Regions from separate parts of the Mus musculus genome. Here regions 2, 3 and 4 are each reported to be linked to region 1. Evidence: microRNA targets listed by miRTarBase, many of them from high-throughput screens and not tested one by one. Region 1 holds a microRNA gene; each other region holds the end of a gene's coding sequence.
The links. The annotated mature microRNA mmu-miR-568 reads AUGUAUAAAUGUAUACACAC and lies in region 1 at 4,914-4,933, shown strand. An mRNA with a match to its seed (bases 2 to 7 or 8) in the 3' UTR can be bound and repressed. Matches are read on the target gene's strand: a 7mer-m8 pairs with bases 2 to 8, a 7mer-A1 pairs with bases 2 to 7 and ends in A, and an 8mer does both.

Region 1 (7,121 bases):
GGCCTTCTCTGTCCATCACGGGTGAACAACGAGGGGTAATAGGGAGACTAGACTGGCCCAGCTCTTATGGAAGCCAGAGTCTGGATTTCACACCTATAAGGAGATGACACCTATTTACCCAGAACACATAGTCTGCAGCTCATCTTAAAAGACGCTTAGGAACAAAAGGAAGTTCCTGTGTTACAGCAAACAGATGCGGTAGTACCCAAAGCTTACCTGTCTCTTCTCTCTCCTCTCTTCCGTCTTACTGCCATGTCCTCTCAACGAGACTTAAACTTCATCTCATGAATGGCACCAGAAGAACTATTTGACTCCTTGGCTTCTCTCTTTTTCAGTAGGCTGGTAGCTCATTCAAAATTAAAACCAAGCAAATACTATTAGTGGCTAGCCCCCTGAGGGCTGAACAATTTCCCAAGTGTCTTGATGATCCCAATATCTTGATAATCAACTCTGATAACTTGGAAGTTTTGGCTGGCTCAGACATCTGTCAACTTTATTTTCATTTTGTCTCCATTTCCATTTGAATCTTAAGTGAGAGTGGAAAGGTAGAATCATGGGAAAGATTGTGAGGCTGCAATTCTAGGGTAGAGTTTGTCAGAAGTTTGTATTATCCCAAATAGAAATTTCTATACTTACTTTCAATTTAATGTTACCCTGAATATAATTTCTATTACATTTATTGTTATTTTTATAAAAATAGAGTTCAATTACTATGTCTAGTTGAGTGCTCTCTTTTCTATTTTCCCACATGGATGCAGTACCAACCTGTTACCTAAATATCTTTTTATTATATTGTTAATATGTAATTCTACTGTAGACCAAAAATATAAAAACAAATTTGCTCATTTTAAACATATACAGACTCTAATGAGTAAAGATGAGGAGAAAAGACCAGAGAGCAGTGGTTGACTATGTTGTTAGAAATCAAAGAGTAGCCTTACCTATTTTTAACCAGTGCTTGCCGTCACACCATAGTTAGGACTATGTTAGCATGGCTTCTTCATGCTTACGTTCTGCAAGCCTTGTCTGTCTGTTTCCTTTGATGTGTTCGAGGTTGCACAATGATGCTATTGTTTTTTTCTTTTGGTAATGCCTGATTTTATTATAATGTACTTTATCAGTCATTTCCTTTAGAAGAATGAGGGGGAAAGTTTTATTTCTTCTTTTAATTTAAATTTTGTTTAATGCACTGGAAATAAAATTGGACACATTTCACTGTTTAAAAATCAGAAACGAAACAAAACAAAACCCCGAAGAAAAAACCAGCAAACAAGTAAGTAATAGGATACACACACATACAAAAAAGCTATGAAAAATATTCTGTTCATACAAAATATAGGCTATATCTCACATGAGAGATAAATACTGTCAAGTAATAAAAAGACATTGTCAACTACAGTGCTGAAAACTATAAGAGGAACCTAGGTGTACAGTGTGTGGGGAAAACTACGAATCCTTTCTGAGGCGAGATCTTTCCATTGTTCCAATAAAAACCTAAGCAAGTTGAATGTGGAAGTCGGTAAGTAGGGAGCACCCCGCCTTCTTTACACCAGCGGACCTCTGGGTTACTTTCTACCATGGGTCTCAGCCACATACACATACACACGCACGCACTCATGTGCACACACTCAATACTTGAGAAGGATTTGTGAAAATGTACATACCCAGTACACAGATGTACACAGTGCTCTGACAGCCCTCAAGCTCTTCTGAGGCTTAGCAGTGATGGGTCCACAACATGGAATACTGAAAGGGATTCACTGAGATCTACGTGTGCTAATAAAGTGCTTGAAGCCAGCCTGGTCTCTTCCCCAGCATCCCCTAGTCCAAGGCCAGCTGCCACACACACATGGACAGAGAAAGGCGAGACACCGGTTACTTCTCCTAGCCAACTGGCTCATTATTATTTGCTGAATATTTGCTGGATTTTTCTGGTTTTGTTCTGTTTTAGAATGGGGTGGGAGTGGATGTTATGTCACAATCCTAATACAGTAAAGTTTTGCATCTTCCATATCTTATGCAAAAACAGACATTTAAATCAATAAATAGTTGTGCCCTAGACTGAAAGTTAATGTTTAGGAGAGGGAAAAATTGTTGGAATTTTTTCTACATTTTTTTGTGAAGAATCTTTTTTGGAAAGGAAGGATACATATTTTTGTTGTGTAATATTTTCTATTTTTGAATGCATTTTATTGGTACAAGACTGTTTTTTTGGTGAAGACATTATTTAAAAAAAGAAAAAAAGAAAAAAACTAATCGAAAAGTTTGCCCTTAAGGATATGCTGCAGTTTTGAGATTAAAAAATAATAACTGATTCAAGATGCGTGTTAAAAGTTGGGATTATATTGTTGTTTTTGTAATTGTTACAAGAAGAAGTTTGTACCCACTGCTGTTTATTTTGTTTCAGATGAGTAAGTAAAGGGATTGTTCTTGTTTTATTCTTTTTTTAGAGAAAAAAGCTATTTATGAAATGTCAAAAACACTGGACTGTGAGTTTAAGTGTGGAAGCATTTTACCACCCTGTGTCTTCAACCAATTATGGGAAACCTTTTCTCTCCCCCCCTGCCTTAGCCTTGCCAAATGAGGAAAACGTAACAGCTCTCAGATGACGGAAGTCACCGAAGCCCTGCTTTAATTTTTATGGTCTGAAAAAGTCGGAAAACCAAAGTTAAATTTGTTTCTGAAATCCCGCTGTCTATAGCCCCTTTTTTGTACAACACAGCCGGCTGGCTCTGCCTCTCTATCTTGGATCATTGCCTTCTTAGGAACGTGGGGCCAGCTCTGCCAAGAGGCGTGAAGGTGGCGAGGTCACAGGAAGTGAGGTGTGAGGGGGACCCCTAGGGCCCCGGAGCTTCTCCATCCAGAGGCGAGGCTGCCAAGAGCACACACAGCTAACAGTGCCTGGCGGGGTCGCCCCTGTCCCCCTCACCTTCTGCTTCGAAGACCCTCCAGTTACCGTGGCTCTGCCTTTCTCAGCAGCCCACGTTCCGTGGATGGGAGGGGGTGGGATCCAAGCAGAAAACACGGCTGTGGGCGCTGCGAAGGCCCCGGCCCTCAGGAGGTAAAGCAAGGGACCACTCAGCACAAGGGCTCTTGCTGCCCGCCTCCTCTTTGACTCTGTGGATCGTCCATCCATCTGCTCACTGTGAAGATGGAGAGGCAGTGCGCCCTGAGGCTGTTCAATAGCTTTTCCATATTTTTTCAACATTGAAAAAATAATTTTTAAAAACTGTGATATTTAAAAAAAAAAAAATCATTTGGCTGGAGGGAAGGGAAAAGGGAAACACCAAAAGCTGTAACATGATTAACTGGAGATATTTATAACTGGGGCACTTTCCAGACCAAGACAAATGAATTGTTTTCTGGACCCGAAAGCAGCCAAATTTTAAGACTGTCAGTGACAAAAAGCTGAAGAGAGGCCTCCATTTCTCCTCCTTTCTTCTTTCTGTCCCAAATTCTCTCATTTTCTCTTCTAGCTTCTCTTGGTAACTGTCCAATGGACTTCATACTTCATGCAAAATCCCGCGCATGCACGCGAGCGCGCACGCATGCGCGTGTACACACACACACACACACACACACACACACACACACACACACAAGCAAAAAAAAAAACTATTTTTCTTAAGGATTGTGGGACTAAATTTAAAGTCATGTGCCTTCATTTTTTTCCCTTTTATAGTTAAATGAACCTCTTCCTTTTTTACAATGTGTTGGGTTTTGTTTTGTTTTTAGTAGAAGGGGAAGGTTAAAGTGTTTGTGGAAGAGAGGATTTTTAGGCATCAACTGGGAGATTTTTTTAGCATATTCCCCCACTAAATATTAAACACAAACATCTCAATCCCTCCACGTGTCACTGTGCACACTTAGAGCATCAAGGAATCAGAATCCGACAGCCTAATCCACTTGATTTTAGAGAAGTTCCTGAAATTTCTATTTCCTAGACTTTTTTATTGTTCTTATTTTATCACAGTGAGGTGAGCAAGGCAAGTTGCCTCGTTCTCCCAACTCGGTGCTTCTGCTTGTGGGGTGGGGGTGGGGCGGTATAGACAAGGGTGCACTCCTAAAGCTCTCTGGTGCTGAAGGGCCTCAAGGTTGAGTTTCTTTCAGAAAATGTGTATGGCACACTCTCAAGTGCACACGTGAACGGTGTCATGCGCACTATTTTTAAAGGACAAGGGAAGGGGCTCTGAAGTGGGTTTTGCTTTCTCTCATGACATTTGATTTCCCTGGTGCCTTATTCCTATTCTATGCTGGCACTCACATGCCCACAGGAACACACGCTGATGTCAGCCCCAGGAGTGAGGACCTCTAGGTGACAGTTGAGCATGTGGGGACCATCGGATATTGGGGTCAGTTGGTAGGGGAGGAACTAGATGGCTGAAAATACACAGGGACTGCACAAGCCCATCACAGTCAAGATTAGTAATGCTCATATGTGAGTATGTGCAATACATGCACACACAAACACACACACAGACACACACAGAGATGCACACACAAACACCAAATACACTCTTCTTCCTCTGAACATTGCTTCCTTCTTCATTTCCTGTCTTTGCCTTCTCATAAAGGTGCTGCTTGCTGCTGCTGCTGAGGTGCCCGGAGTCCAGAATGCCCAGTAATCACTCAGGCACAAGCCTGGCACTGCCACGTTCAGTCCTTGGCAAGACCAAACCCTGGTTTCTCTTGCCTGGGGCTGAAAACCGTCAGATTTTTCTCATCAAAAAAAAAAAAAAAAAGTTATCCAAGGAATCAGTGGATTATAGTTACTCTGCATTAAAAATGCACTTTAAAAATAAATAAAAGCTCCAGACTGTTTAAAACACACAGAGGGAACAGGAGAAAGATAAACGTGCTAGTGTCTGAACCCAGTTCAGCATATCTCCAGTTGAAACAGTATACACTATATTATGTATAAATGTATACACACTTCTATATATGTCCACATATATGCGGTGTGTGTATTATACAGGTATAGGTGTGTGTGCACGCACACAGGTGCACATAGCATATCAAGTGTTCATTACAAATCCAGATGCTCATTTCACAAACAGCAGCAGAGGAAACAAGGTTGGACTCTTGCAGCAGATCACAAAACAATAAAAACAGCCACTTGCGGTGACGCTGGTCACTGCTGTGTGTTCATAAGGAATGGATTGTAACAAAGGAAAACAAGGAGCAGTGTTAGCAATTGAGGAAAACTGGGACAGACCATCTTGATCCAATGGGAATGCAGTAATGTTCTCTACCATTTCATCCGTTCTTTCTGTTAGTCGTGACGATTTGATTTTCATTTTTGCCTATTAAAAATGGTTTAGATTCAAGTGACCACATCCAAGTGAACAAAACAACCACAGTGAAAGTCCTTTTCAGTAGGAAGATGTCAGAAAACTCAAAACCCTTGGCCTGGCTCAGAACTACCATGTGCAAACCAGAACTCTCTCAACGTTTGAAATAAAAACTTTAAAACTCTTTTTGAAGCACCTTAACGTGGCCATCCATTTGACAAGTGGGTGCCACCTTTTTCTTTGAGCACCTTATTGACGTATTTTGCTATCTGCTGTCTTCTGTTACTGTTGGCTGAATAGCTAGCTGTTAACACACACACATGTGCACAGACCAGACATCTGAGCATGCGTGTTCTCAATGACGTTTACCGTGGTGACTGCTGGAAGGTGAACTCATTTTCTGATTTGCCCACCACAGTGTTGTGATAAGACTCGAAGAAACCCTGCCCTGCACGGAAAAATGTCCCTTATCACGTTGTATATTAGGGTGGGAAGGAATATGGTCCCCTTTTTGCAATTGCTACTGTGTATACATACACATGCACACACACACACACACACACACACACACACACACACACACACACACACACTGTATATTCAGACATGATGTACACACACAAACATAACTCATTTGTCCAAGTGATATTTCAGATGTTTCTGTGGGTGTCACACACCATGTGCAGTTTTCCACTTCCCAGAGAATTTTGAGTGGAGGGTAACTTTTCAGACTGATGAACGGGGCACTGAGGAAGAGTTTGAAGTGGGAGGCAAGAAAGGAGAGAGCATTAAGTCAAAAGAATAATTTCCCAAGAGAAGCTGGAGGAATGGCTGTCCTTGCAGGTGGGTGTGGAACACTGCTGTCTCAGTCTGCACTGTAGAAATCCATGCACACATCAACACACACACACACACACACACACACACACATACACACATCCCCCCACAGGGGCGTGGTCTGGGATGAGCAGGTCAATAGTTTTGAGAGGGAGTTTGTTCCTTTTTTTTCTCTCATTATACTCTTGTCAGTTATTAAACAAACAAACAGAAAAAAATTGTTTTGAAAAACCTTGCGTACGCCTTTTCTATCAAGTGCTTTAAAATATAGACTAAATACACACATCCTGCCAGTTTTTCTTACAGTGACAGTACCCTTACCTGCCATTTAATATTAGCCTCGTATTTTTCTCACGTATATTTACCTGTGACTTGTATTTGTTATTTAAACAGGAAAAAATTTCAAAAAAAAGAAAAATTAACTGTAGCGCTTCATTATACTATTATATTATTATTATTGTGACATTTTGGAATACTGTGAAGTTTTATCTCTTGCATATACTTTATACAGAAGTATTACGCCTTAAAAATACGAAAATAAATTTTACAAGGTTTCTGTTTTGTGTGGAAGAGTAATTGATGTTGCTAAGAATGATGTTTGTTTTTTGGGGTTTTTGTTGTTTTTTTTTTTAAATGTTACCAGCACTTTTTTTGTAAGTTTCACTTTCTGAGGTATTGTACAAGTTCACACTGTTTGTGAAGTTTGAATATGAAGGAATAATTAAAAAAAAAAAAAAAAGCTCTTCTCTTGGTCTCCTCTCATGTTGTCCTTGTGGTGTGCCTGTCTTGGGCAGCTCTCTATGTTCCTTCGCACATGGAGGTCTATTGAGTCTGAGGTTGTCCAAATTGAGGACTATGCCCAGAAAGCCAGAGAAGTGCATCGGTCCTCTTGACACCAGAGGTAAGGAATTTAGGACCACTGATGGGAAATCACTTTGAGGATCTATAATGCAAATTTTTCATCCTGTACCTGTCTCATAACAGCATGACTTG
Region 2 (7,121 bases), not on the chromosome of region 1:
TCAGCAAAATTTAAAAATTGAAGTCATAGCATATATTTTTCTTGGCCTCAATAAAACCTGTAATTAACAAGAGGGTTTTTAGATATGGTACAAATACAAATCATGGGAACGAAACAACATGCTACCAAGTCAATTACTGAGGAAACCAAAAGAGAAAGATTTGAAACTGGAGACAACAATGAAAACAAACACATGAGTGTAGCAGAGCCAGTGCTGCGGGGATTTTGAAGAAAGCAATAGCCACATTTCAAAAGAGAAAGAGTACAAATAAAAACCTATTTGCTGAAACTCAAGACATTAGAAAAACTATAACAAAGCAAACCTAAAGTTAGTAGAAGATAAGAAATTACAAAGATCAGAACAGAATTGAGACTAAAATATATAAATAGTCAGGAAGCTCGAATTAGCTTCTTGAAAAGATAAAAGACCCAAATTTTAAATTTAGCAAAGTAGAAGACAAGAAATTACAAAGATCAGAATAGAATTGAGACTAAAAGATATAAATAGTCAGGGAGCTTAAATTAGCTTATTGAAAAGATAAAAGACCCAATTTTTAAATATAGCAGTGGGCATTGTTAAACATCGTAACTTAGCACCAGAGAAAGAAAGGGACCACTGGAGCAGTAATGAACAATTACATGGAACAAACCGGAAGCCTGGAAGAAACAGACTTCTAGACATAAGGACCCACTAAGACTGAACCATGAGGACACAGAAAACCAGGAACAACAGTGAGTCATGGGATTTAGTTGGAAGGGTCAGTCTCTTGTATTAACTCTCTAGTTGCTGTGACTAAATGTCTAACAGAACAAAGCCCTATAATGGAGGAAGGGTTTATTTCAGCTCATGGGTTCAAGGGATTCCGTGGGTGTTGGCAGGGAAGGGGTGGTGACTGGAGTCTGAGGCAGCTGGTCGCATTGCATGGCCGTTAGGAAGCAGTTATGATAGTTCTAGTGTTCGGGTAGCTTCCTCCTGGTTTTGCCGGCTGGCCTCCAGCCCATGGTACCACCCACATTTAGGGTAGGTCTTCCTGCCTCGTTTAACCTAATTTAGATGACAAACACACCCAGATGTGTGCTTCCAAGGTCAAAGCTGAGAGTAGAGATTAACCATTCCATGTCCAAACAAACAAACAAACAAACAAAAGTCAGCGTCTGAATGGTTTTACTTTTGAATTTCACCAAACTTCCATAGAACTAATACAACGTCTTTACAGACTATTCCAGTAAATTGAAAGGGAGGGAGCCGTTCCAAACTCATTCTAAGAGGCCAGCACTACTCTGCATCCAAAGCTAGACAGGGCTACAACAACAACAACAACAAAAATTCAACACACCAATATCCCTGGCTAGCATAAATTCATATTGGTGTAACCAGCTGCCCTGAGACTGCACTGGAGGCCTCCTCCACATAAGAAAATAAGCACCTGCAACTATAAACTTGGCCAAAAGCCTATGTCTGAGGGTTTATGGGATCAAAGGAGGAACATACGACCATTGTTTCCCTAGTTAGATATGTTGTCAAGCGTTCTTCTAAATATTTCCATTTATATCCCTAGACTAGTGCCATCCTCTGCCTGGGCCACAGGAGTTCCTTTTTGCGAAGGGGAGCAGTAAATGCAGAGACACAAAACTGGCTGAAGTGCTGAGAATAATTAACTATTTATGATTATCCCTTAATGAGACATTTATTTCCACTCCCCTCAAGACTCAGAACCATCAGTGAAGAAGGGTAGGAAGACTGTAAGAGGCAAAGGATGGGGAGGAGGGCTGTGAATGCTGCCTTCTGGACCCCAGTAGCTATTGCCTTGTAAGAGACCTACACAAGATCAAGGTGGTCAGTAAACATTCCAACACACAGAGGAGGGACTTAGGTGGCTCTCCTCACAGCTGAGGAGGTGGTGACAATTGATGGCTGCTGGGGACAGAGGTGTGATCTCAGAGAGGGTGCCCATGCTCTATAGAATGGCCCCACACCCTTGCACACACAGGCAAGACCAAATGGACTCAATGGGTTCTTTTTTTTAATAGGACATTAAGAGAGAAACAAGTATTGCAGAGGGTCTGACAGGAGTCACAGAGAGAATTTGGGTTGAATATGATTAAGATACTTTGTATACATGAATGAAATTGTCAAATAAATAAAATATATGCAAAAATGAATTATACCTGAGGAACTAGATATGGTAGTTACTATGATCTGATCATTACATACTACATACATGTATTGAATTGCTACTGTATACCCTATACTATTTTGATAACTGAGAAACTGAACTTGTTTGTTCCAAATATTAGGGGATTTTCCAGATGTCTTTGGGGGAATTCTTAGTGGAGGCTGGGAGTGGAGCTCAGGGTTTGTTTGTTTGTTTGTTTGTTTGTCTGTCTGTTTGTTTTACTTGCTAAGCTTACGTTCTATTCCTGAGCTAGACCCACAGCTCCAACTTCTCCATCAATATTGCTATTGTTTTCTACTTTAAATTCCTATTTCCAGAGACTATAATTGGAATGATTATCAGTCCCTTTGTATTTACGGTGACTATTTTATACCTATAATATAGCCCATCTTTGTAATTTCCCCATGTGTATATGTAAATAGCACGTTCTGTAATTGGATAGAGTATACTATGAATGTTAATTAAGTCAATAGTAAAACCTTTATTATTTTGGATAATAGTATGATTCTTAACTCTATTTGGTATAATATTAATAGAAACCCTGACTTTTCTCTAGTGTTGGGTATGACCTACCTTTTAAAAACATTTACCACTATTTATGTTTTTAATATCTAAAATGAGTGTTTTTCAGGAAACATACAGTTGGGATAACCTTCCTTCCTTGAGTTATTACATTCTTTATTTGGGTCCCATAATTCCTCACTATATTTTTTTTAACTCTCAAATAACTGTAATAAATTTTTTTCATTGTACTTTACCTACTTTTAAAGTTGATTTTCTACCTGAAGGTGGATCTGAATTCCCTAGCTCCCCCACCTGCCAGTTTTTCCACCAACAAGGTAGTAGGGTATATTAGGCCTCTAGTATGTGACATTTTTCTGGGTATTGGGAACATGATAGCAAATGAGTCAAAGTCCCCCCAAGAAACTCCCATTCTGGTGGGGGAAAGTGTTCACTTTTGAGGGGTAGGTTGAAACAGGAACTCGCCCTGAAGCCCAGGCTGGCCTCTAGCTTGTAATCCTGCCGGGAATCGAGGGGCATGACATCACAGCTGACCACGTGAAGACAATGTCAGTCACTGCCTACTGAGCACCCTTGGATCACACAGCCACTTTTGTGTGTCCTGGAGGGATGGACTGGAGGGTTATCTGTAAGGTTTGCATAGAATTGTGTAAGGGTGGAAAGTCTAGAGTAAGTCAGCGGTGAGCTGGAATCAGTACTAACATACAAGCGATGACTGTGAGCTCGCCATAGAGTAAACAAAAGTATGGAGAGTGACAGTTGAGAAATCTGTGTTTATCTTTTCTCTCTCCCACAGAACTTCAGAAAACAGAGCCTAAAACAGAAAACTTATAGGAAAACTCTGGCCAGACTCCAGCCTTCTGAGATATTGAAACTCTCCATTTCACGGCAGTCCTGACACATGAGGCTCTCAAACCACCAGATTTCCTCCAGTGAGAGAATCGTTCTACTAGGACTTGCCAAGAAGAATACCAAGCCACCAGTATCACCCCAAGGGAGTTATTAGTGTCATACCACCAGTAACCCCAAAGAGAATACTATACCTCAAGGATTCCCCAAAGATGACAATGCTCTGTCAAAGCTTCCAAAAGGAACCTTGAACCACCAAAGTGTCCTAAGAGGGGTGTGAGATCACTAATGCTCCCCTCAACAGTGCCATGCCTCCTAAGGGGAATATCAAACAACCAGAGTTCCTATAGAGAACATCAAACCTCCAAGTTCCCAATTAGGGAATCACTAGGCACACTCCTTGCTGAACAACAAACACTATGACCCCTGTAAACTAAATCCCTCCCCAGGAATCTGTTAACATGGCATATTCCTCCTCAATTATGTCTTCCTTCTCCCACTGGAGAAAATTTAGCCTCACCTTGCCCTCTTCTCCTCCTCTCTGAACCTAAGTATGGTGATGGTAGGGTGTGGTCAAGAAGGCTCACGCCAAGACCGCTGAGGCTTTCAGGAGCAGCTCTCTAGCCCAGCTCTTCTACGGGATGCTCCTCAGGAGACAGGCCAGGGCAAACAGTGGTACCCAGTCATGGACCTGGAGCTGGTGCTCTCTAGGTTGCAGGGCTGTCTCATCTTATGCTTCTGTTGTACTTCCTGCTGAAGGAGTGTCCAGTCATGTCAGCTTATAATAAAGGCAACCTCTCAGGAAGCCAGTGTGTTCTCTGCCCCTCTGTGGTCGCCTAGGCTCATAGACTGTGGGATGGTGCAGCAGTGACATTTTCCTAAGTTGGGGAAGAAGAGGTGGCATAGACATGAGCCAGGACAGAGCTCGCATCCCACCCTCGTTTTCTGATCTGTGTGCAGTGGGTTGCTCCCTAATGCCTGGGGTTTGCAATTCACGGTCTCATTTCACTGAATAAATAGCCTTTGGCCTTACCAGGAAAACAGAACTCAGAACGATCATTTGGTCCCCTCTGTTTGGGAGCCCAGTGTTAGCAATAGTGAGTTGAGTTCTATGCTGTTTCTTTCCGCCATTGTGCCAGGCCAGCCAGCACGAGTCAAACAGACCTCTGAGTGGAGAGTGAGGATTAACAATAGCAAAGGCAGAAAGGAGACACAGAGATAGATTCAGAAATATTCCAGTGAATACTGCAGCTCTGAGTTTATTGCTCAATAGCATTTTTATACCCCACAGTGCAGTGGGAAGCAAAACCACAAGCTAGCAGAAACCGTGGCTAACATACACAGGATATCTGTTCCCATCTGGAGACTTCCCTGTTCCTCCCACCAAGGTTAATAGAACATTCAGCCCTCACCTTAACCCTCAAAGTATCTCCTCCTATCGTCCCATGTGTCAATGGGCACGATCTGTCAATGGGCTATCTGTCTGCCCTCAACCCCTGACCTGTTTTGACCCTGTCTAGCAGGCAAAAATGGCTCCCGACAATCCATTCACACTCCTCCTGGACCTCACCCTTCCCCTCAGCAGGAAGATATAGAGCAAACTTCTCTATATCAGCTTCTCCATGGACCAGATTTATCCTAGTTGACTGTGGAGCCATGCGAATGTTATAGGACAGGGCATTTCCCTCCTTCTCAACAGCCAAGGCATCCATTCCATAGAAAAAGGCTGCTTGGTTTGAGTTCTCTGCTTGTATACACCAGCTGCCCTCTCCTCCACATGCAGTGCACTGGTCAGGAACAGCACTCCCTGGGATGGTCAGGCATACAGACGTGGCAGCCTGGGTGCTTAATGTAAAGTCTCGGGGAGATACTGATGGAAGTTCCAAACACTACCATCTCAAAGGGATTCTCAACTTGTCACACCAGTAGCTAATCACTCCAGCCACCATCCCATCTGAAGCCCCTGCCCCAGATCTACCCAGCCACCCCCAGACTTCACTGTCTCATTCTGGTCACAAAGCACTATCACTAGACCTCAGCATTTCACCCAAGAAAGTGTTAGCAATCTTGGATATGTCTTGATAAACTGAGAAGAAGCTTCTGGCAAGATGGGAGGGCTATTCTGCCTCCACTGGCCCTAGTTACACACACACACACACACACACACACACACACACACACACACACACACACACTTGTATACATGTGCTCGGGCCTTCCCCTCTCTGGCCAGTGGCAATCACTTCCCCCATCCCCTCTGTCCCAAGTGGTCTTTTAAGACTCAAGGAAGCCTTGGCCTAAGCATGCCAAACCCCAAGGTGAAGGAAGCATATTGCTCAGGCGGGTAGAAAAAGTAGCTTCACAGACCACCCCTACAGGTCTGCACCCCGATCCCACATTGTCTCCCCAGCAAAGATCACCATGAGACCAGAGAATAAGACACATGCTTTATGCCCTCAGGTGGTCAGGGAGATTTTAGCAGGGACCCACCACATAACTGTCACATAACAGGAGTGATCCAGGTAGAATCAGGAGGCTTTGTCCAGACTCAGGAGGTAGTCTAGGGGGCTTCCTGGAGCAGATGATACTGAGGAGTCCTCCAGAGAGTCCTTAGTGGTAGTGCTTATGACAGGGGCCAGTGCTGAGGACCCTGAGCCCAGTCCCTTGGGTTTCAGAGCATCCGTTCAATGTACAAATAGTTTGGTTGTTCCAAGTATGCAGAGAGCTAAGTTGTCCTTGATTCCTCTGTGCCATCCATATACAGAAAGTCAAAAGAGGTTGCTTGATGGAGCTGGTCTGAATCAGGAGAGGTGACCAAGGAACACAGACTCTTACACCAGGAAGGCCACAACAAAGTAGGGTGACAGCAAACCCAGATGCCATAGGTGGATGCAGAAGAGTCTGGACCTCGTGGCAGGCAGATCAGATGCCCAGCAGATATGGTCAGTCCAGCTTCCCTGCCTAGAGGGCCAAGGCCTGAGCCAGCGTCTCCTCTGAGGTTCACCTTCCACTCCTGGAGTTCCTCTGCTTGCTCATGGCTGTGAGCATCTGGCTGATGTAGGAAGTCAGAAGATCATCCATTTTGTATCCCTAAAACCAGGGGTAGGAAAATAAGCAGAGCCCACAGTGGAACGCACAAGCCCCTCACACACAGACACGGCTCCCAGAACATACTTCAGTGGGCACAATACAGAAACAAAGCAAGTCTGCCCCCATCTACACATTTAAGTGGCTGGGTTCATCTTGCTATCTTGAGCCCCAGGCTTGTGGTCCCTCTAAGCCTGGAGGCCTCAATGCAGGAGTGACTGCAAAAAACTACCAGTTAAGTTGCACCTTGGGAGTTTGGGCTCATGCTGAAGGTCTCATTGCTAATGGCTCTTCTGGTGCACATGGGCTGAAGGCCCACATCCATGGGATCAATAGCCAGATTCTAAAACAACAGCTGAATGATGGCTCTCTTCCTCCACCCTAGCTGACCATTTTTCCCCGGACCTAAATAAACTAGGCTTCTAACGGACTCCACCAGGAGAGGCAGGGAACCGTGCCGGGCACTAGAGGGCGCTCTCACCAGCGA
Region 3 (7,121 bases), not on the chromosome of region 1:
GTTCAAGGTTAGTCTGGCTTGCATAGTGAGTTCCAGGGCTACATAGTGAGATGATGTCTCAAGAAAACAATACGTGAGATTGATGTGTGTGTCTGCCTATTTTTGGGGAGGGCAGTGAGATTGATGTGTGTGTCTGCCTATTTTGGGGGAGGGCAGTGAGATTGATGTGTGTGTCTGCCTATTTTGGGGGAGGGCAGTGAGATTGATGTGTGTGTCTGCCTATTTTGGGGGAGGGCAGTGGTGGTGGTTTATTTCCTTTTGTTGATTGCAAGAGCTGTTGATGCAGGGGAATGCCACAGAGGTTGGTGCTTTGTTACTAGGTTTTTAAGACGAATCTCCTATCTCCATTTTGTTGCATCTTGTTTGACTTTGCTTTTGTCTTTTGTCTTCCCTTTCCCCAGAAAAGCCGTTATGAGACCTATATTCACCTCCTGGCCGTGAAAATCAAAGTGGGCTCAGATGACCTGGAGCGGATTGAGGCACGGCTGGCTACTATAGAAGGGGATGACCCAGCTCTCCGGAAAACACACTCAAGCCCCGCCCTCAGCCTGGGCCACGGGCCTGTGACTGGCAGCAAAGCCACAAAGGATACCTCTGCATCTGATACTTAGCTAGTGTGGCTGTGCAGGCCCTAGAGGCAGGCAAATGTCCCCAGAGGGGTCAGTGAGCACAATTCCAGCCAGGGATTGCTTGGACCGAGCTCCAGGCAGTTAACAGGCAACCAGAGGGGTGTGGAGAGCCCTGTGCCCAAGGAGATGGAGATGTCACTCATGACGCTGATCTTCTTGCATCCTGGACCATCGCTGGCCTAGACCCTCTCCTAGCCCTGCTGCCCTCCAGTCATGGGGCCAGACATGCTCTAGAGCTGGACAAGTCTGTCACTGTTGCTCTTTCCCAGGCTCCCTTCTCATCAGGCTCCTCCCTCGTCCTGTATTTGTGAGGGTGGGTCTGGACTCTGGATTTCAGCTTGGCTATCCACCCTTTCTCCTCTTTCCTCTCAGTTGACCAGCAGCAGGTCTATGGACCACCAGCAACCTTTGCAACCGGCCCAGTTCTCCTGCCTCACGTTGCAATAATCTGGGGCCTAACCTCCACTCAGTGCCAAGCTGATTCCACACATGCGTGTGTCCCCTTTCTCCTTTCATCCCCTGAGGCCTCTCCAGCCTCTTTTTTATACAGACACACACACACACACACACACACACACACAATATATATATATATGTAAAGTACTCATTTAAAGAAGGGTTGGAAACTACTACCGACTAGAGGGTGAAACCAGAAAAAGGAAAACTCCTGACTTGGAGCCTGGCCTGCTATGGAGGAAGCCTGCAGGGGGCCCTGCACTGCTCTGACACTGGATGGGAGGATGAAGACCCTCTGTGTTTTTGCCTTTTCCTTTTCCGGCTGACTTGTGACTCACAATCACTTTTCCAGTTGATGCTTTTGGACTGGACAGGATGCCTGCGTGTGTGTCACCTCCTCTGTCCCAGGGGTGTCCTGTGGGTTGAGTGCCTTGGGGGCACACCTCTGTTTGCTTTTGATCTTCTTGTGAATACTGCCAAGGTCTCCGAGCTCCAGTGATGCCCTCTGCACAGACCTCCTGGCAGTAAGGAAGGACACTACCTAGCTGAGCGTCATCCTCCGGCAAGCCCAGGCTGGGCGGTAGAGTAGGGTTAAGGAAGCTGTTAGTTTGTGGTCTCGGGGAGAAGGTAGAGTGACAAGGTTTTGATTAGTGATAATCCTTTCCTTTTCCTAGCAAATCAGAAAGCCTAAGCTAAGGACCCAGTTGAGAGTCGAGACACATGTCTCTCACGGGTTGACATCCTTTGAACACCGCATCACTTAGAGCAACAAGTGAGTCTCGGGGATAGGCCCCCTTGACACAGCTACCACGAGCCAATCTTGCCTATTGTTTGGCCAACGGTTTGCAGTCTTGGGTGACATAATCTTTGCAACTAAGTGCTTATCACTTCAAATCCACTCCCATCTGATGCAGGGAGCTGGGAGTTTGTGGAGAGGTGTAGTGGGGTTGAAATCCAAATTGCTTAAATTGGATTAGCTGAAGTGCGTTTGATAACCAAACCATCTGGCCCCTTTGTTTTGCTCAGGGGAAACAAATGCTCGTTTGAATGAGATCAGAAAGGCAATTTAGGGGGCAGCAAAGAGATCTCAGTTCTTTGTCCAGCTGCCTGAAAGTCCTTTGATTTTCCAGCCAGTGTCCCACTCTCTGTGTCATGGGTGGGGGACAGTAGAGGTGAAGTTCTTTAGCCTCAGACACGCGTGATTCCCCAAGCACTAGTTGTGCCTCCCATCAGTAAAGACATTTTTTAGTTCGCTTCCTTAATTGTATAATTCTTTATTTGTAAATTATATACATGTACTACTGTACTAAAATATTATGTACATTATAAAACATACACAAAAATAGAAATTTAAAAAAGATGAGATGAAAATAAATCTAAATCAAAGTTCTAATATTTTTTTCCTGCATTCTAATAGACCATCATGTTCCTCTTTCCTGTCACCCCTAACAAGCCCACAAGGACAGGTCCTGGGAGGTTTGCTCCAGGGCTCAGGAACTCCTGGTGCCTAATTCTTGACAAATAGCCTTCACCCTCTTCCGTGAGGGTCAACCATGTGCCATACACTGTTGCTGTGTGCTAGGGACAGTGGTAAAAGAGGCCAGTTCCCTGTGTTCACGGGTCTCACCGTTAGGAGGGAGACTAGGGGAGAAGTGGTTACCATGGCCACTGAGGACTCAGAGGGACTGGGAAGACACTAAAAGTGATAATGCAAAGTAGAGAAAGAACTTGGGGAGCAGGGGATAGAACTTTGACCTTGGAAGCTGCCCGAGTGTCCTGAGTGTCCCAGGGGACAGGGTGGCAGAAGGGAAGTTGCCTGAAGTGACTTCCTGGGAAGCCACACACTCAACGTCCCGAAGGCTAAACCCTGAGAGTCAGGGTGATCAAGAGGGCTCTCTGGTCAAGCACGCTCCAGGTCCCAACCATACCTGTCCAATGAAGACGGGCTAATGCAATCAAGGGAGCACTGAAGAGCGAGGTTAAGTTCTGGCCTTGGACTCTTGGTGGGGTATCTTAGAAGATAGGGCAGATGATGAGGGAATGAGATGGGGTCATGTACAGGTTCATTGACGAGGTCACTTGAGTCTTACAGGTGGTTTCTGGATGTAAACATAGAAGGTAACAAACCCGGCCCACACAGTTTACGTGAGGACACTGAATTAGATCGTAATGAGATCAGTGGGCTCAACAAGAGGTCAGAGCATTTAATCTGGGGTCCCATAGAGATCAGAGGTCACACGTAAGGATTAGTACCCTAAGAAAGCAAACAGACCACAGGGTCATCTGGTGAGGCCTGGGCGTGATCTACAGGTTTGTGTAACATTCAGTCTAGAAGGTTCTCTTTCATCTTTTCCCTTTGTAATAAGTGCCCCTCAGCACCCTTTAATGAATATAACAACTTTATAAAAGTTTAGACTTTTCTTAATCACCTCATTGAGTTTTTACCACTTTGTGACTCATGGTTACAAGACACAGGATTCCGTCTCCGCGACCATCAAGACTAGATATCAATCAGGAAGAGTGCCGGGTCCATCTGCATGTAACCTCCACAGTCACTCGCTGAGGTAAGCGACTGCTTCCTCATTTCTCACTAAGCAAACCGTGGCCTGGAGAAGCCACATAGCTAGAGAGGGACAGGTGGCACCCGGACTCAGAACCTATTGTCGCACTATGCCTCTCTGTCTCACTCCTCTGCGAGTATCTGTCTAGATCCACGCTGCAACTTTCAAGAATTTGTATAAGCATACACATGCGCACACATTCACCCAGGAAGGCTTTAGGTTCTGGCTGGCATCTTGGTTCCTGGTATTCTAGGGAGCTGATGGGAAAGACTGTTTACCCTGGACTCTATCTGCCTCCTCCATGCCTGAGATTAGACCTTCATCAGAGCCGCAGGTTTAGACAGGCCCTGGCTCTGGTGTGGGGAGAGCATATACAATTGGGGAAGGAGCAGTACCCTGTGGGCTCAGGAGCAGTTCTGGTCCTCCTGGCAATGAGGGGACCTATTATGTTGTCTTACATGTCCAGACTCTGCCTGTGACGAGCCTGAAGCCCCAAGGGTCATCTTTGCCTCCGCAGCCCCAGTGCCAACCCCACAACCCTTCCCTCTTCACCCACCTGGGCAAAAAACTGTTGCCCTAGTCCAGCTTCCTAGCTGCAGGGCAGGAACTGGGCCAGAGTTCTGAGGCTGCGTTTAAAGCGGAACGATTTGCGTCAGTCCCTTGGCTGGGTTCCTTAGCACCCAGGGGGACACCTTATGAATGATTTGGAAGAAAGACTTGGAGCAGGTCCTGGGAGCTGGGGCCAGAGGGACTGGAGAGAGGGTCACTTCCGCTCAGGGACTATCTTGGCCCTATCCAATCTTCCTCCCAGTACCCATGTGCCTCATCCTAGGCCCTCCTAGCTTCCCTCCTCACCTAGGTACACACAGTCAAACAGGAGTTATTTCTGATTTTATTTATAATATAAAAATGTTCAAGTGTCAACAGTCAGGTGTTCGGACATGTCAGGGTTCCCATTTGTTTCTGTTTGGGATTTTTGTTTGCTTTTTAGACAATTGCCTTTTTTGACAAATTAGCATTGGATCCAGTTGTGAGGGCTGGCTGGGGAGGGCAGGATTGGAAGATGGAAGTCATAGGTGGGTTGGGAGCTGGGCTGTGAGAAGGACATGGTGTTACTTTATTGCTAAAAGGGGAATCGAATACACTGTCGGAGTGGCTCTTCTGGGTCCCAGCGTGACCATGCATTCAATCTAAAGAATCCGAAATGCAAAGGACATGCAGGCGTAAAATAGAAAAGACGACCTGTAAACGAAGGCGCTGCAGAGGACAGAGGATGTCCTGGAGGCCGCCAGGGAGGAGGAGCCCTGAAGGTTGGGCCCCTGGTAGAGCTGCCCCCTCCCTCGGCAGGGGGCTGGTGGGGAGACAGCCTTCTCTGTCCTCTTTCCCTTAGCAGCTGTGAGGGCTGGGGAGGACCCTTCCCCATTCTAGTTGCTGTAGCGGGGAGGCCAGTGTCCTTGGAGATAACCCAATCTCAATTCCAGCTCTAAGGCTAACATCCCTGCCTTCTCTGCTCAGGACTGGGGAAAATACAATTACATCTTATCTTCATTTTCTTCCTCATTGTCCACTTTCCTCAGAGCCATTAGAACCTCACAGTCTCTTCTTTCCCTGCCCTTTCTCACCCCCACCAGTTTGGGATCCTACAAGCGCCCACCCTCACACTGCACCCCAGACGGCTCTCCAGGAGCCCCAGATTAGCGTACAGCAAAAGGCACCACAATATAGGTTTCTATTAAAGAGTCAAAAAATTGGCCCATCTCTCTTATTTTTTTTTTTGTTGTTTCTTTTTTTTTTTCCGAAGCTGTAAATCAGGATGTTACATATAAATAGTTTCCCTATAAAAACGTCTTTGCCGTTAGCTAGTATTATAAGACAATTTTTTTTGCTAAAATGAAAATAAAACATTTTGTTATACTTTTTTCCTTTTATAGAAAATAAAAATATTTTTATTTCTTTGTTCGCTCCTTTTCCCTCTCCAGTCGGTGGTCTCCGCTCTCCTTGGAGACGTGGGGCGGGCGAGGCGGGGGGCCTTAGAGGGGCCCCGAGTCCTGCTTGGCCCTCGTGGGCGGCCCCCGGCTGTGTCTGCTGCTGGCGCGCGTGCTGTGGCTGTCCAGGGAGTAGTAAGTCCTGCTGTCGGCCGCGGGGCACAGCGGCGGCGAGTCCGAGCGCAACGCGTCGTGCGCCGCTCGCAGGCCGAGGAATGGCGTGCTCTCGGCCGCCAGCGCCCCGTCCGCGTCGTCCGCGTCGTCGTCCGAGGCCGACGCCGAGCCGCAGCCCGAACCGCTGCTCAATGACAGCGAGTCCCGCGCCGCGCGTGCGCGCTGCGCCGCCAACCCGTTGAGCCGGGAGCGCCGCCAGCGCCGCGGCCCCGCCGACGTCCTGCGGGACGCGCCGCGCGTGCGCGGCCGCGGCGGCGGCGGGGGCGCGCACTCCTGCGTGGTCTCGTACTCGTCGTCCTCCGGGATGCGGAAGGGGCTGGCGGGCAGGCTGCCCAAGCTGCCTCCCAGCGCGCAGGCGCTGCGCCGCGGCCCGGGCCCCGCCGCAGGGTAGTAGTAGCTGTCGTAGCTGCGCTGCATGTCCGCTCCGGGCCCCGACCCCGGCCCCGGGCCGGGCGGCGCTGGATGCCGCAGGAGCGGCTGCTGCTCCGCCAGGCGGTAGCTGATGGGCGCGGCGGGCGGCAGCGACACGGCATGCGCAGAGTTGGGCGACGTGATCTCGAAAGTCGGCACCTGCGTGGCCAGCGAGTAGTGGAAGTCCACGGGCGAGAGGCGAGCGGGCGTGGTCAAGGCTGACACGTACCTGTGGGAGAGACAGAGGGTCGGGAGTCAGGGTGCAGTGCTGGTGTTCACCAGAGATTCCAACCAGAAAGTGTCCATAAGAGTGAGAGCCGTGGCTCTGACCACGTTTAGTTTCCATGAACCTCCCAGCCTTTTCTTATCTGTTAAGCACAGATGAATGTAGTGTTTACTCCAGTATGATGCTGGAGAATTTCAGAAATGTACTAGGGGAGTACTGTAGGGACGTTCACAGTCTCCGAGGCACGCTCAGGTTGGAGTGTTTTATGTGTGGTCTCATCTATTCTGTAGCATCTGTGGGTGAGGGCTATACTACATATAGGAAAAAGGGGACCCAGACTTGAAGTGCCAAGGACTGAATGACCAAAATGTGGTAGGTCTGTTTCATTCTTTCTGAATCAACTAACTCCTTCCTCCACCACTAGGTGTCTCATCTTAGAGCCGATGATCCCCAGGTCCTTGAAGGCCTGTTTCTTGCTAATACCTCCCAGTGTGAATCCTGGGTACCTGTCCCTGGGATTCGAATCCAGGTTAGGCAGAGAATAGTATGCTTAATTCCAGGAACCACTAGCCACCATTCAGAGACTACCTGGATTTGAGCTCACTGCTCTTGCAGTGACAGTTTATTCCCTGGCTTGGCTTGAGTGAGGGGAACATGCCTTCTTGTATCCAAAGGCTAC
Region 4 (7,121 bases), not on the chromosome of region 1:
TACAACTCTGAGCCCTTGGCTTTCCCTTCCCATCTTACAACCTAGAGACAGTTTGCATATGCATGCAGTGAGGACATTTGCAACTTGTCCCAAAGAAGAATGTAAAGTCGGACCTCAAAAAAAAAAAAAAAAAAAAAAAAAAAAAAAAGAAAATAGACAAACTTTCCCTTAAGTCAGCAAGGTTAAGTATAAAGATTGACAGGCAAGTCTTCACAACTGGATAACTGGTCTAAGAGTGGCTTGCGCTGGCCAGCCTGGAACATGAAGTGGAGGTGCAGAAGGATATTGCAGTGTTGCAAGCCCGTGACAGGGCTAGCATGTTGTAGCTTGGAGACCTCCAGCAGAGCCCTTCTTCAATGTAAGTGCAGCAGACCCACAGTGAGCCAGTGTCACATCTCCCATAGCTTTTGGGGTCACCATAAAGGTGATCATCACAGCACATATATGTCCCTTCCTATGTTTTAACGTCTGCCCTCAAGATCAAAGCGTTCAATAAGTCTTTAGAAAAGACGTTACTGCATCTGAGATCCTTGGAGTCCAAGTCACCATGGCTTTTCATAGCGGTCTGGCTGTAAACTCTCCTTACTAGCCAATGTGGAAGGCTCAGCCCCAGTCTGATCTCCCTGACTTCTTTTGCATGGAAATGCAGAAGCCAACCTGACATAAAAACAGAGCCTGCCCTTCGCCACTATATCTGCCCAAGTCATTTCTGATTTACCCTTAGACATCCAGCCTTCAGAACGGTTTCTCTGAGAAGCATTCCAGTGTTTACTGGAGTTTTAGCTTCTCCTTGGGACCTATATAAGGCACTGCTTACACCTTACTTGGTGTCTGAACCCTCCTTACTGACTGGGCTCATTCTATCCTGTAGTCTTCTGAAAGTAGGAACTGTCTTGTTTGTATTGAAGCCCTACCATCCAGCATGAACTAGGAGCTCAGTAAATATGCAATGTATTCATAAGTAATGGAAAGAAAGAAATCACAGCCTGTCTCCTGCAACATTCAAATAATAAAACAATCCATCACGGGCGGGAATCCTTCCTGAGTCTCAGGTATTGTATGAGTCCTGACCTACATGGAGTGGGGAAGCCAGATGAACAGGGCAATAGTGTGCTCAGAGCTCTCCAGAATGCCACAAGGTCACAAGAACTTGGAAAACAAAATGTCCCTACACATCTTGAGGAAGAAACCAAGCAGGACTGGTATCTAATGGATGAGCTTTGACAGCCTCTTGCTGAAGAGGCCATGGTGTGAAAACAACTCCCTTGACCATCCAACTGTACCACACATCTCACACACCATCACTGGACCATCTGAACCACCACACCCTGCTCTCTGACTTAAGAGGAGAAATGAAGGCAAGGACCCAATGGGGAAGGCTAGACTTGTGTGTCCCCATATTTCATTCAAAGTGACTTCTGAAGTGTGACAAGGTAAATGTACTTGGTGATATGTGGATGAAGCTTCAAGGCTCTATTGTGGTCAAAGATGGACCTAAAACCAATTCCTCCACCCCTCTGTGCGTGTGTGTGTGTGTGTGTGTGTGTGTGTGTGTGTGTGTGTGTGTGTGTGTTAAACTCAACAAATTTCCTGTTGGGCACTCAATGTCCATCAGAAACACTATAATAGGGGTTATACTGGCTTATTAGACCCCTTGTCTCCCACTGTTTCCCTTGGTCTTTGTACCAATCCAACCTCAGCCTTTGGTCATGCATGAATCAAATTTCCCCTTGTCTAGAGGTCAAGAGAAGAGTCGCTCTTCATTAGTTCTTCATTGATTCATTCCACAGGTGGGTTTGTGGTGTCTATTGTGGGTGAGACTTGGTTCTGAGCTCCTAGGATGAGCTCAGCAATACTGAGAAGACTCTGGAAAAGGCAAATGTGGCTTAGATCACAGCTGTTCTAGCGAGAAGCCCCAGACACACACTCTCTGCCATCACCTTCATACATCTCATCCAAAGCTAACCTTCAGGTCTGTCAGTGTTTGTCTACACCTAGGGTCTGTCATACATCCTGTCTCTTGACACTGGTGCTTTCTTGTTTGATATTAGATATATTTAACTATGAATTCTTGAACACCAAAAATGTTCGCTAACAATAACTAAGACCCAAATTCTTTTCTTTTTTCAGATTTATTTTATTTATATGAGTACACTGTAGCTGTCTTCAGACACACTAGAAGAGGGCATCAGATCTCATTACAGGTGGTTGTGAGCCACCATGTGGTTGCTGGGAATTGAACTCAGGACCTTTGGAAGAGCAGTCAGTGCTCTTACCCAATGAGCCATCTCTCCAGCCCAAGACCCAATTCTTTATCCCCAAAGTAAGTTTGCCTCTATAGAGACCCTGGCTCGGGTCCTGTGTGCTAATTTTAACTCAAACTGATACAGTGTGAGAACAGATTCTTCCGTCCATTATCCACACAGATCATGCATTTACCCATTCTCTTCTCCATTTCTAAACTCACAACCATGAGTAAGAAGCCTTGTCCATTTAAACATCCCTTTCACCTGTGCTTGAATATTTGTGTGTGTGTCTATGTGTATCTATCTCTGTGTGTGTGTGTGTGTGTGTGTGTGTAAATACACCAACAAACTGAGTTACAGGAATAAAATACTTGTGAAATATGATACCTATTCCTAGTGAAACTGCATAGGAATGACTCTTCGAGCTGACCATAGGATGGCCACAATCTGACAATCTTTTATTCTGGTTGTACTTTTTACTTTTAGCCTTTCAAAACGCACATGAATGGTGATATGATCAAGGAGGGAACTTCACATATAAACAGGATCAAGCTTAGTTAAATGTCAAGAGTTCAGAGCCCTTAGTGTGGCTTGTCCCAAAAGATGAGAGCTGGGACTCCAGCCCAGGGGAGGTCAGGCGTTCGATTTCTTGGAGATTGATTAGACGAAAAGAAAAATCAGAGCAAGAAAGATCTATGGAGACTTTGAACATGAGAACTGCCAACAGAGCAATAGTTTCGAAGACATCCAGAAATAAGAGAAGGGCATAAAGACATATATCAGAAGGAGAGCTGGGCCCCACATGGCAGGTCCTGGGGTCAGGAGGCAGGCAGGAGAGGGCCCTGGGAAGACCAGCTTCTGTTGTGAAATCCGAGTCCTGGCAGCATGTCTCCATGCACCGAGAAGGAATTACTTTTTTAAATGCCTGTTTTCAACTTGGGTTTTGGCACAAGACTCGTATAATGCAACGAGTATCTGAAGCAGCTTTTGGAGAGGTAAAATTATGTGGCCCCTACTCCGACGTTTGGTAGAAATTGAGCTTTGCTTTTGCTGCTCCTACGTGCGGTATGAGCCCAGCCTAACCTAACAACTCTGGACCTGGGTCCACTTGGCTGTAAAACAGAGCAAAAGACACTCACCTCACAGGAGTCCTGTGAGAACTGACAAAAAGCAAGTGTTTGGTGACAATTATCTTCCTTTTCTACAACTGTATTATTTAAATTTTAAAAAAAAGTAATTGTCAGAAAAAGAGCAACATGGTGGATCAGAAGGGCAAGTGGAAGCTGAAAAGAGTATAGGCATTTTTAAAATTTGGAAACTTTTACCTACTGTATATCATTTCCTCTGGATAGTTAAAATCCCATGTGTTTTAAATCAGCTGACCAACAGAACTCCCTACCACAACGTTCTAGAATGTTCTACATCAATGCTACCCAATACAGCAATTTCTTGCTACAGATGATTGTCACACAGTTGAAATGACATCACATGAGACATTGAGAGGAGTAAGTGAATACAAGAGTTTAGTAGGTGTTGATTAATCGCCTTATAATAAGTAACCATCCAAATGTATTGAAACAGAAGTTCAACCCCCTGACTCATCACGTTGTGCCGTCGCAATGCCAGTGTCTAGTGTTACACCTGCCACATCTAGACTCTCATGAAATAAGTGTGGGGAGGAATAGGGGAAGAAGAGAAGGAAAGGAAAACAATGACAGAAGTAGACTATTTCCTTCCAAGGCTGAAATGAGTTGCTAAAACAAAAGTCTTTAAAATAAAATTTTCAATGTGGAGAACTTTGGGAGATGAAGTTAGATCCTGGTGTACTGAGATACATATTTATAAATGAGGCTGAAAGGAATTGACATCTCCGAGAGAACCAAAGAAACCAAAGAGGGTAGATGGAGAGGGAGGGCGCACTTCTAGATTCCACATCCCTGATATTGTAAACTCAGTCCTGCAGAGTGTGTTTAAGCCAGCGTCTTGGGTTTATATGTAACTCTTGTCCATGTCACAGTCTCATGTACCAGGGACCAGGAGTAGGATGGGTCCACAGTGCCCAGCTTAGCCACCTTTCTCATTCACTCTGCATTCCATCCTCAGCACCCCCCCCCCCCCCACACACACACAAAAGCAGTGTTGGGCACATTTTCATTAACTGTTTATTCATTATAAATAGTAAATATTTACTGCACTTTTTACATGAAAGACATTTTTACAACACATCATTGTTGGTTGAGGCTGCAACACAAAGATACTATGTCTCCTGTTCCATCACCCTGCCCAACGTATAAAATAACTCAGTTCTATGTCTAGTCCTGCTAACACACTACCTCATTGTTCTTAAATCTAAAGGGAATGTATTTGTGCCTACCTCATTCATGGTTCCAAGAATAGAAAGAAATAAATAACAGCACCGCCCACCTTCATCTTTCTCTTAACATTTCAAAACACAGATTTATTGACATCCTAAATGTCACCACATGAATGTATGTAAACCTGTTCCCTATATCCTTTAATATTGGGTATCGTTGTATAATTTAAAAGTACATGAGAGCCACGTGGACATTTCTGTTCTAGCCCTGCCTTTTGTAGAAAAGAGACGAATGTAAACACCATCTCTGTAGAGAGCTTGATTCTCAGACATGGTCTCTGAACAAAAGGAACAAGCAGGATGTGAGTTGTTTGGCAACGAGCAAACATCACTGCACTCTACTACGATGAGTTATGGGCTGCAAAAATAAAAACACCTGCAAAAATATAGTTCTGATTTCATTTCTATCACCTTGGCCATTGCCAAAGCATCTGTGAGGTACACAGTATTGCACGCTGAGAAGCAGATATGTGATGGGTGTCACTTCCTCTACATCATACCCTTCCCCCCCCCCCACCAACTGGCCTCCAAATCAATGTGACTTGGGAAGTAAATGACATCCATCTATCCCCACAGCAGATAACACACTTTTTTCTCATTATCCCACATCTTTTTACAAGACATGTCAGGGACATCGGTTGATAACTAGGTTACAAATGAAGGTATGGTAATAATTTACTGGGGAGATCCTTCACATCTAGTCTAGTGCCCTATACAATGGTGGTGTTGGTTTTCATATCGGTTTCCAGTGTGTCAAAATCAAGGATTTCTCCATTCCCAATTCACTACATAAGCAGTGTGAATGTCATAAACTTGGTCAGCCTTAGACATCAAACCTGTTAACTTTCAGGAATTCAACTACAATATATGGGAACATTCTGCTTACTCAAACCACCCCGTGAAAATCAATCTCTCTCTCTCTCTCTCTCTCTCTCTCTCTCTCTCACACACACACACACACACACACACACACGGAATGTTTTAGCTTCTTTGATCAGCAACAAAGATTTGGGGCCATTTTGATATGTAGCCAGTTACATCACTGTCTTAAAAATGGTGCATTTTAGAGCTCTGGGTCTTCCTTGTCTCCCCTGCCTTTTGTCCAATATGTTCAAAGAATCTGAAAGCAACTACTGGAGAAAGAAAATCAATCTCTTTTGTCTCCACCTCCCCCAAAAGCTGAATTTTTTTTCATTTATTTTTTGTTTGTTTTTAAATTTTTTTTATTGTTTTGTTTCTGAGAAGATTCTTCATGTCTAGTCTGTGGAGGCCGGAAACAGGGCTCCAAGTGGACAGTTCACTTATGCAATATCTGGCTTGAGATAATGAAAGGCACCTGTAAGGAAACACACGCAGCTTTTTAGGTCATGCTGGGACAATTCACAGTTAGGGGCAAGATCAGCTACAGGCTGACAATGTCATATTTAATACCACGGTATCAAAGGATCGAGACTAATATTTTTATTCCTGAGACAAGTTTGACACAACTCTGTGTCCTGGGCTTATCCCCATATGATCCTGGCGCTGACCTCATTAAGAACATGTGTTTCTAATGCTAGAGGTTATTTCATTTTGGCCAACCTCTGTGTTTTACCTACTGACAATCCGGTTTTCCGTCCCAGCAATTAATAACTGCAAGATGTTATTGACATCAGTTAAGCAAATAATTACACAAGGGAGCCTGTGCTGTAGCAATCAGCTGTCTTTGCCACAAAAAAATGATACTGGGATGAAAGGCTTAAACATGCCTCCAGTTCCCCGTTCTCAAGCAAGAGGTGATCTCTCTCCCTTCCAGGAGGAACTACCCCCTAGAACGTCCAAGGCTTACTTTGTCCATACTGCCCATACTGGTAGCCTGTGACAGGGTCCATACTGTAGCCTGCGGTGCTATAGGTGGGGGGACAATAGGGCTGAGATGTGGGCAGACTGTCCACATTCTTCATATGTTCCAGTCTCTGACTGCAGCTGGCTGACACCGTGGTCGTGGGTTCCAGGCCCCCAGTGAGAGGGGAGAGAGCATAGTCGGTCTGAGGCTGGTGCGGTACCCCACCGTGGTTGGTCAGAAGTCCCATTACCTGCAATGATGACGGGCAGAGCAGAAGTTAAAATGTGGGCAGAAACAGATGGCAGCCCCAAAAACAGCGCAAGATCTTGAAAGGCCAACTTTTATGTCTCTAGACAGCCATTGAGGAGCTTTTCTGAAGGCTTTGACCCCAATTCAAAGTGGCAGCCACATGACCTCACCCAAGATAACATCTGACGGCAGTTTCAGCAAAAGGAAGGGGAGGGAGAAGGAAAAGAAGGAAGGAGAGGAAGAAGACAGGAGAAGGAGAGATTACACCGTGTCTGCTGTGATAACATCAGACTGGAATTTCAAAAGAAAAGCAAAGAAGCAACAGAGGGAGATGTTATATAAGTCTAGAGAGAAAACCATCTAATATAGTACATCTGGACACCCAAGTGATTATGTGTGTGTGTGTGTGTGTGTGTGTGTGTGTGTG

Region 2: the mRNA of Myo7a is a reported target of mmu-miR-568. The part of its 3' UTR that is shown has no 7-base or 8-base seed match.
Region 3: the mRNA of Psd2 is a reported target of mmu-miR-568. Seed matches in the 3' UTR shown: 7mer-m8 at 1,172-1,178.
Region 4: miRTarBase lists Pax3 as a target of mmu-miR-568. Seed matches in the 3' UTR shown: 8mer at 4,778-4,785.

Annotation. Positions count from the first base shown.
Region 1 is chr16:43,635,752-43,642,872 of GRCm38, forward strand. It overlaps Mir568 (microRNA 568), which reads left to right and starts at 4,904; the gene lies at 4,904-4,986. It also overlaps a transcript of Tigit not described here.
Region 2 is chr7:98,045,080-98,052,200 of GRCm38, forward strand. It overlaps Myo7a (myosin VIIA), which reads right to left. Exons shown (of 49, transcript NM_008663.2): 48 at 7,116-7,121; 49 at 5,981-6,637. The coding sequence ends at 6,548. It overlaps Gdpd4 (glycerophosphodiester phosphodiesterase domain containing 4), which reads left to right. Exons shown (of 18, transcript NM_177696.3): 18 at 3,495-4,584. The coding sequence ends at 3,532. Among named protein-coding and RNA genes, the nearest start is that of Myo7a, 71 kb to the right of the region's middle.
Region 3 is chr18:36,012,238-36,019,358 of GRCm38, forward strand. Psd2 (pleckstrin and Sec7 domain containing 2) reads left to right here. Exons shown (of 15, transcript NM_028707.4): 15 at 402-2,478. The coding sequence ends at 611. It overlaps Nrg2 (neuregulin 2), which reads right to left. Exons shown (of 11, transcript NM_001382420.1): 11 at 2,344-6,445. The coding sequence ends at 5,677. Among named protein-coding and RNA genes, the nearest start is that of Psd2, 51 kb to the left of the region's middle.
Region 4 is chr1:78,096,880-78,104,000 of GRCm38, forward strand. Pax3 (paired box 3) reads right to left here. Exons shown (of 8, transcript NM_008781.4): 8 at 4,388-6,695. The coding sequence ends at 6,429. Among named protein-coding and RNA genes, the nearest start is that of Pax3, 97 kb to the right of the region's middle.